Linked DNA regions of Elephas maximus indicus. The protein of the gene in region 2 interacts with the protein of the main gene of each other region in a pairwise test. Links are inferred from orthologs where the notes say so. Each region holds a gene or a part of one and is shown on either strand. Other genes may lie near its edges.

Region 1 (3,745 bases), on a different chromosome or scaffold from region 2:
GAGTGACCCTCTAGTGGGATAGGATCAACTTCTGCCCACCCCCCAGGAGGTGGGAGGTTTGGCCACAGCCATCACAAGAGGGGGCCCTGTGGGAGGGCCAGGGCCTCGGGGCTGGGGGTAGGGCGGGAGGCCGGCCCAGAAGCTGCTCCTGCCCTTTTACGGTCTCACAGCGAGTGAGGCAGCACTAACTCGGACATCCGCCATCCGCCTTCCTTGGGACCGGAAACGCGCCTGGGGGGGACAAGAGGCGGGGCTGGGGGGGGCAGTGGGAGAGCAGCGTCCCGTCCCAGGGGAAGAGGGTGAAGGAAGACCGCAAACTGCCCCCTCTCCAGGGCAGACCTCAAGGGATACTGCTATAACAGGGAGAAAGCTAGACAGGAAGTCTCGAAGATGTCTGTGGGTGCCCCCTTGCTCCGAATTTTCCAACAACCCCTTTCCCAGCAGAAGGAACAATCGGGAAGAGAGTTCTCTAATGGTCATAGAAAGGAATGCCACCCGAATATCAGAGGCAGGGGTGTAGGGGAAGTGGGAGTGTGCGGGCACCAGGGGGTTAATCCCCAGCAGTCCCCTGGGGCCTTCCCCCTTAGGCTGGGGGCTTTGGGGCAGGAAGTCCCAGAGAGAGTGGAGGAAGGGAGATAGTATTGTCAGGCTCCAGCCCCAATGGAGAGATTATGGAGGGTTGTGAGTCCCTTCCCCTAGCCCAGCTCCCGCACTAGCCCCACCCTCAGGTGAGCCCGGGAGTTTTAGGGGAGGCCTCATGAAGACACAATCCCTGGGTGCCTTGGCCCCTCACCCTCAGGATTAAATTCTTGGGAAGATAACTGGAACTCTCTGGGAAGCTTAGGTCCCAGGGGGAGAAGGCTATGACCTTGAAGCTTTCTTGCGCCCCTTCCTCCAACCCCACAGCTCCCGAGGGCCCGGCAAGGCTGCGGGGAGAGGGGGGGTAGGTAAGGGACCGGGGTGAGGAGAGCTGCCAGCCCAACGCGCTCTTTGCCCGCCCCCCACACCAGCTGTCTCGACAGGTGAGTCAGAAAGACAAAGGCCCCCCTTCCCCCAGCTGCCGCGCCCCCTCCCTCTCTAGGGCCGCGCAGGTGGGGGAGAAGGGCCGCCCTGCTGGCTGAGGGCGGGGAACCGCCCTCCGCACAGAGCGCTCGCTCTGTCCTAGGCACGGCCTGTTTCGGGAACCCTGTGGGTGCAGAGAGGCGCGGGAGGGGAGTCCCAGCCAGACCCTCGAGGTTGCGTCTGGGTCCATCAGTCCGTCCGAACTGACCTCCTCCACAAGAGGATCTTAGTGTCCCTCCCCCCCAAAATTTAGAGGATTAAGACGTACCCCTGAAGTTAGGAAGCGCGGTTCCAACTGGGGAGACTTTTCCAGCGCCACGTAAAAGGGGACCCCGCTAACAGGGGTCTGCGTGTTTGCCTCTCTCCCAGGCTCCAGAGTCCCCAAGCCGATCCCTCCCATACCCCGAGTTGAGGTTTGGGGGGATTCTGGGGTCTGCCTAAATTCTGGCATCTCTGCGGAGAGAATTCGCCAACTTAGAGGTCCCCTGAAAAAGTCTTTAAAATTCGGGAGTCCGCCGGAGCGCCCCCAAATGCGAGGGCTCCCAGGAGAACCTCACCGGCATCACCCCGAACCTTAGGAGTCTGGGGGAGGTGGCCAGTATTTGAAGCTCGTCCAAGGGGATTCGGCCCCAAATCTAAGGCTCCTAGCACCCGGTCCCCAAATTCCAGCCCCAAGCGAGCTGGGGGAGGGGGGACAAAGGCAGGGCGAGGAGCCCGCGCCGGGCGGGGAAGGGTCGGGCTGCAGTTCGCGGCTCACCTCATGGCTGCTCACTGGCGGGTGGCGCGCCCACGGGGTGAAGGCTCCCGGGGCGCCCCTGGCTCGCTGTTCAGGGGTTCGGGGCTGGCTCCAGGTTCTGCTCAGTCTCCCCCAGGGTCCCGCCCCATAGAGTCCGGCTTCCTGGGGGGAATGTGGCCGGGGCCGAAGCGGGTCCTCGGTCGCCTTCTCCCCCTGAGGTTTGATGGGGGTCCCTACGGCAGAAAGGGGGTGCGGCGTCCCCTCCCCGGCGCGCCCCTCGGCCGGCAGCGGCTACAATGTTACTCTTACTACTGTACTTCTCTTCGCTACATTTCGTTCCAAAATTCCACTCCCCGCACCCACAATGCCCCGCGCCTTAAAGGGGCCGCGGCTGCCTCAAGGCTGGGGGTGGAGGGCGCTTAAAAGGGCAACGCGGCACCGTTGACTTCCGCTATTTTCCTTGTCCTCAATGTGAGTGCATAGGGGTGCACTCCGGGGGTCACCCAAAAATTGGGGGGGTAGCTCGGTAGAAGGGAAAGGGATCCTTTCACGATCCCTATGTCTCCCCCAGTATGGAAATTCTTAGGGCGATCGAAACGGGCACAATTTTTCCCCTCTCGTCCTCCCCATTGACTTCTCCATTTCTTTCCATGTTGCTAAATTTTGGGGGGCGAGGGCTCGGACCCTCTGGGTAAACACAGATTCCCTCAAATTTTGTCCCTTAAACCCCACCTTCGGAGCCCCCAACGTCTCTGTCTTCTCTGTTTATGAGAGGGGTTACTGGGGGGGTGAGTCCCCTATCCCGTACAGGAGGGGGATGGGTGGTTAGGGTCCCACCCTTCTAACCGCCCGCCCCGGGAAGGTGAGGAGGAAGTGGTCCGAGGGGGCGCGGCCGGCCTATGACTCACAGCCGCAGGGTCGGGGTGTGGGGTGAGGAGGGGGGTGGGGGCTGGGGAGACGGGCGGGGGTGGGGGGAGCGGCGCTAGCCTGGGGTAGGGATGCGACGCCGGGCTCCTGTGTGGGCCCCTCCCCACGCACGCCCCGCCATGACTCAGTTTCTCCTGCGGAGGATGGAGGGATCATCCCAGCAATCTAGGGGGCCCGGAGGCGGGGAGACGCCCAGGTGTCCCTTCCTCGGGTCCCCCTTTCCCAAGCGCCCGCTCAAGGCAGAACGCAGCGCCCGGACCTCTTCCGAGGCTTCCGCAGCGAGTCCCGCAGGCCCCGCCCAAGTGACGTCACCCCGCGCGGCCACGCCCCCCGGAGAGTGCCACCTTGTCCGGGTGAAGTGCTTACAGGAGGGCCTGGAGCCTGAGAAATCTTCACTAAGATGCGTGCAAATGGGTAGACTGAGGCCTGGAGGCAGGGAACGTATCTGGGCTATGGCCCTCTTGCCGGAGCCCCAGGGTGTGAGTGTAAAACCAACATTTCTCAGGACCCAGCAGATTCGACGATGCCCTGTTGCTGCCCTCCTTCACCTGGGGAGCACCTCACCTTCTAGGCCAAGCCCTGAAAGGAATTCTCTGAAGCACCGAGTAAACCCCCTCCCCTTCTCCACCCCACTGTGGATACCCTGAACCCTGATCCACCTAGCTTGTAATTGTTCTTCCGTGTGTCTTCTCCAGGTGGGAGTTCTTTGGGGGCAGGGTTATACTTGATCGATTTCTAGGCTTCACCCAGCCCTGCCAGACTCAGCAGCAATCGAATTAGGACCTCAGTTCCGTGGGATCTTGGTCAAGTCCTTTCTCCTCTCTGGGTCTCTGCTTTTCCATCTGTGAGTATTTCTGGGTGCCAGGGGTCAGCAGACTTTTTCTGTAAAGATCCAAATAGTAAATCTTGTAGACTTTGGGGGCCACGTAAGTCCGCTTTCACATATTTTTCTTTACAACCGTTTAAAAATATAGAAACCATTCTCAGTTCAAACCAAAACCAAACTCGTTCCCGATTCTG
Region 2 (3,745 bases):
CATCCTTCTCCTAGGATTGCTGTTTCGGGTTGGTCTTCTCCATCAGACAGCTGTTCCCTCAGGACCCAGATTTTTCTAGAATGTCCTAGAAGTCAAAATGGCCTTTTGAGAGCATCCAGAGGAGAGAAACTGATAGATAAGGAGCCTGCCACCCAGCCTCCTGACTCAGACCTGTGCGCTCTCTACCACACTGCCATAGGGAAAATACCAAGAAAACACATGTCCACACCTAAAGGCTTATTTTTTTAAAGTCTCAAATCTGTATGTGAATTGCACCCACTGGCAGATACAGGTTCAGTGGTAGAAATTTCTAAATTTCAGTAGGTGCTCCTCATATATTAATACAGACGATAGAGCACACAAGTAGCACTGTCAGGGAAACCTCTTAGACATGACACCTTACAGGATGAAGTTCTCAGGCTCAAAGGCAAAGGACCATAGACTCAGGGGACATCTACATCAACTGACATATCATAGTTCATAAAGAAAATGTTCTACACTCTACTTGGAGAGTATTTCTGGGGTCTTGAAAGCTAGCAAGCGGCCATCTAAGATACAACTACCGGTCTCTTCTAGTCAGGAGCAAAGGAGAGTGAAAAAAACTAAAGACTCAAGGGGGCAATTAGTCCAAAGGACTAATGCACCACATAAACCAAAGCCAGCACAATCCAGAGACCAGAAAAACTAGATGGTGTCCGGCTACCACAACCAACTGCTCTGACTGGGATTACAACAGAGAGTCCTGAACGGAACAGGAGAAAAATGTAGAACCAAAGATCAAATTCTCAAAAAAAAGACTAGACTTGCTGATTTGACAGAGACTGGAGGAACCAGGAGACTACGGTCCCTGGACACCCTTCTAACTCAGAATTTAAGCCACTTCTGAAGTTCACCTTACGTCCAAAGATTAAAAACAAACAAACAAAAACCAAATCCACTGCCTTGGAGTCGATTCTGACTCATAGCTACTCTACAGGACAGAGTAGAAAGAACTGCCCCACAGGGTTTCCAAGGGGTGGCTGGTGGATTTGAACAGCTGACTTTTTTTGGTTAGCAGCTGAGCTCTTAACCACTGCCCCCAGGAGTCCACAGCCAAAGACTAGGCAGGCCTATAAAACAAACAACACACATAAGGAACGTTATTCTTAGATCAAGAATATGAGATCAAATGGGCAACACCTGCCCCCAAACAACACTGGACAAATGGAAAGTGATCTGGGGGTGAAAACTGAAAAGGAGGAGAGTGCGTGACACAATGCGGGATTTCAACCAATGCCGCAAAGCAATTTGTGTATCATTTTTTGGATGAGAGACTAACTTGCTCTTTAAACTTTCACCTAAAGCACACACACAAAATCTGTGTGATTAAAATTGTACTTTACTACTGAAAACAGCAAGACATAACAATGCAATTTAAGCACAATGTGGAAGAGAAAAAAAAGCGGCAAAAAGCTCTCAAATCAACTATGCCCCTCCTGTGTAAGCAGAGGCTGCACCAGGAAAGCAACTTCATTCCCGCCACATCCAGGAAAAGGGCGGGAAGAGGTGCACAGGGCATTGTCTTGGAGGAGCCCCCAGGTCCCAGGAAGGGAGGGAACCCCCTGGAGGCGCGGTTATATTTGAGCCGGCCCACCTAGAGTGGAGCCCTGTCGGAGGAGCTGCCAGCCCAAGAAAAAGGCGGGAAGGGGCGCGCAGGCGCATTGTCTTGGAGGAGCCCCCAGGTCCCAGGAAGGACGGGAACTGCCTGGAGGCGCGGTTATATTTGAGCCGGCCCACCTACAGTGACGTCCTGGGGGAGGAGCTTCCAGGCCAAGAAAAGGGCGGGAAGGAGCGCGCAGGCGCACTGGACAGGGTGCGGCCGAGATGCGGTCCTCTGGGAGGAGCCTCCAGCCTACACAAAGGGAGGGCAGGGAAGGATGCGCAGACGCAGTCCTAGTTGAGCAGGCCACCACAGGGAAGCGCTGGGGGAGGAGCCTCCAGTCCACTGGCGGGAAGGGGTGCACCAGCTCCGGAAGTCTCAGCAGAGGAGGAGCCAACGCCAACTTGGCGTGGGGGCCATTTTTTCTTGGAAAATGGCAAGGCAAACCCTGTAGCTGAATATTAAAAGCCCTCCGGACCACCCATACCTTTTTATCGCTCTATTGCCCTTTTTGCAAAAACGCATTGAACCCAATCCATGTTCTGAGGAAGGCTTCTCAAACGAAGGTTACCCTTGGAAGGCATTTCCCCACCTCCACCACCTTCCCAACCCCACGGCCCATCCCTGCAGGATCCCGGCGAGCCTGGACCGCCAGCTCGGGGAACAGGAAGACTACACTCCTGAGACGAACGGATGGTGGGGCTGAGGCAGCACGGGGCCTAGGAATCTTACCGAGGTCGGCGAACGGTGGGCTGGACACAGGCCGCAGAGGCCTGCGCAGCTCCAGGCGGCCGGGACATCCCCTGGCCGCGGCCTCTGCCTCCAGCTGGGGCCCCATGGAACTGGACATCGCAGCTGCCGCTCCTTCGCTCGGCCCCATGTGGCTGCGGCCGCTCACAACCGGGTGGAAGGCGCTCGGGCCCGGACTGGGGCCCCGCGGGGGCCTCTCGGGGAAGCCAGAGATCGCACGGCCGTGGGGTCTGGGCTCCGAGTCCCCCGAAGCGGCGGGCGACAGCCGACGGAGGCTTGAGCCCGGGATGGCGGCCGCGGCCCCAGTGGCCGGCTTAGGCCCCTGAGCGCCCAGGGTCGCCTCCTGCTCCTCCTCGGACGCCTGTCTCTTGAGCACTTTCTGCGCAGCCATTATCTTCTGGCGCTCGCTGATCAGGTAGCATTTCTCACAGGCGCACTGCTTCCAGCGGCAGTTGCCCGAGTGGCCCTTGACTGGCACCAGATAGCCATGGTTCCGACACCGGGAGCACTTGGGGGTGCGAATCATCTTCTCGACCAGCTTGGTAGGGTCTGTCTTCATTACACAACCACCACCTCCGGGAGCCGCAGAGCAAGTGGAATAGGAATGAGCAGCGCCCCACAAGTCCTTGGTGCTGGGGACGTTGGATACACTTGTAACAAAGTGGTTCTCAGTATGTCCCGGAACTGCAGCCAACACCCTTGCATTTTCCCTCCTTTTTGGGGGGGTGCAAAATTTGGAGAGTCTGAATTTCTGTGCATTGGGTAATTAGGTGCACAGGATTGGGTTGAATAAGTTCTTCATGGAATGCTATTGCATGTATGTCATTTGGGTGAGCTGAAGTCTTAGGCGTTTAATTCTCCAAACTTTTTATTCCCGCCTCCCCATAGATAGAAGGTATTTTGTAACTTCAAAAAAGGCGGGGCGATTTTCAACGGTCCACAGATTTAAAGCTCCACAGGAATGTTGCTCTCTGTAAACCCATTCCAGTAGAAAAGCGTTCTAAAAGGCAAACCGTGTATCTCCTCCCAAAAGCTGCCGCTTCTGCTGAATTTTATTTCTCTTCCCTGCAGGGAAGCAGCCGTTCATGGTGATGCTTCCAGAATATTCTCAAGAGCTCAGCGCAGTGTGATGGTTGCTCAAGGGCGTGTGCCCTTAACAGTAATTCCCGTTTAAGAGTTGCTAATACAAACGAAACCCATTGCTGTGGAATCGATTGGACTCATAGCGACCCTATAGGACAGAGTAGAAACTCCCCATAGGGTTTCCAAGGCTGTAAATCTTCAGGGAAGCGGAGTGCAACATCTTTCTCCCACAGAGCGGCTGGTGGGTCCAACTGCCTACGTTTTGGTTAGCAG

The links.
Region 1: the proteins of DMRTB1 (region 2) and VASP interact in a two-hybrid assay, tested with the Homo sapiens proteins (2 studies listed by BioGRID and IntAct). The two-hybrid records come from large-scale screens. The link is inferred for Elephas maximus indicus from reciprocal best matches to the Homo sapiens genes DMRTB1 and VASP.

What each region holds. Positions count from the first base shown.
Region 1 is NC_064829.1:104,187,981-104,191,725, forward strand, and holds the start of VASP (vasodilator-stimulated phosphoprotein), read right to left. Parts: upstream 2,151-3,745; 5' UTR 1,825-2,150; coding exon 1,820-1,824; intron 1-1,819. UniProt on the Homo sapiens protein: Ena/VASP proteins are actin-associated proteins involved in a range of processes dependent on cytoskeleton remodeling and cell polarity such as axon guidance, lamellipodial and filopodial dynamics, platelet activation and cell migration.
Region 2 is NC_064821.1:96,789,028-96,792,772, reverse strand, and holds the start of DMRTB1 (doublesex- and mab-3-related transcription factor B1), read right to left. Parts: upstream 2,949-3,745; coding exon 2,372-2,948; intron 1-2,371.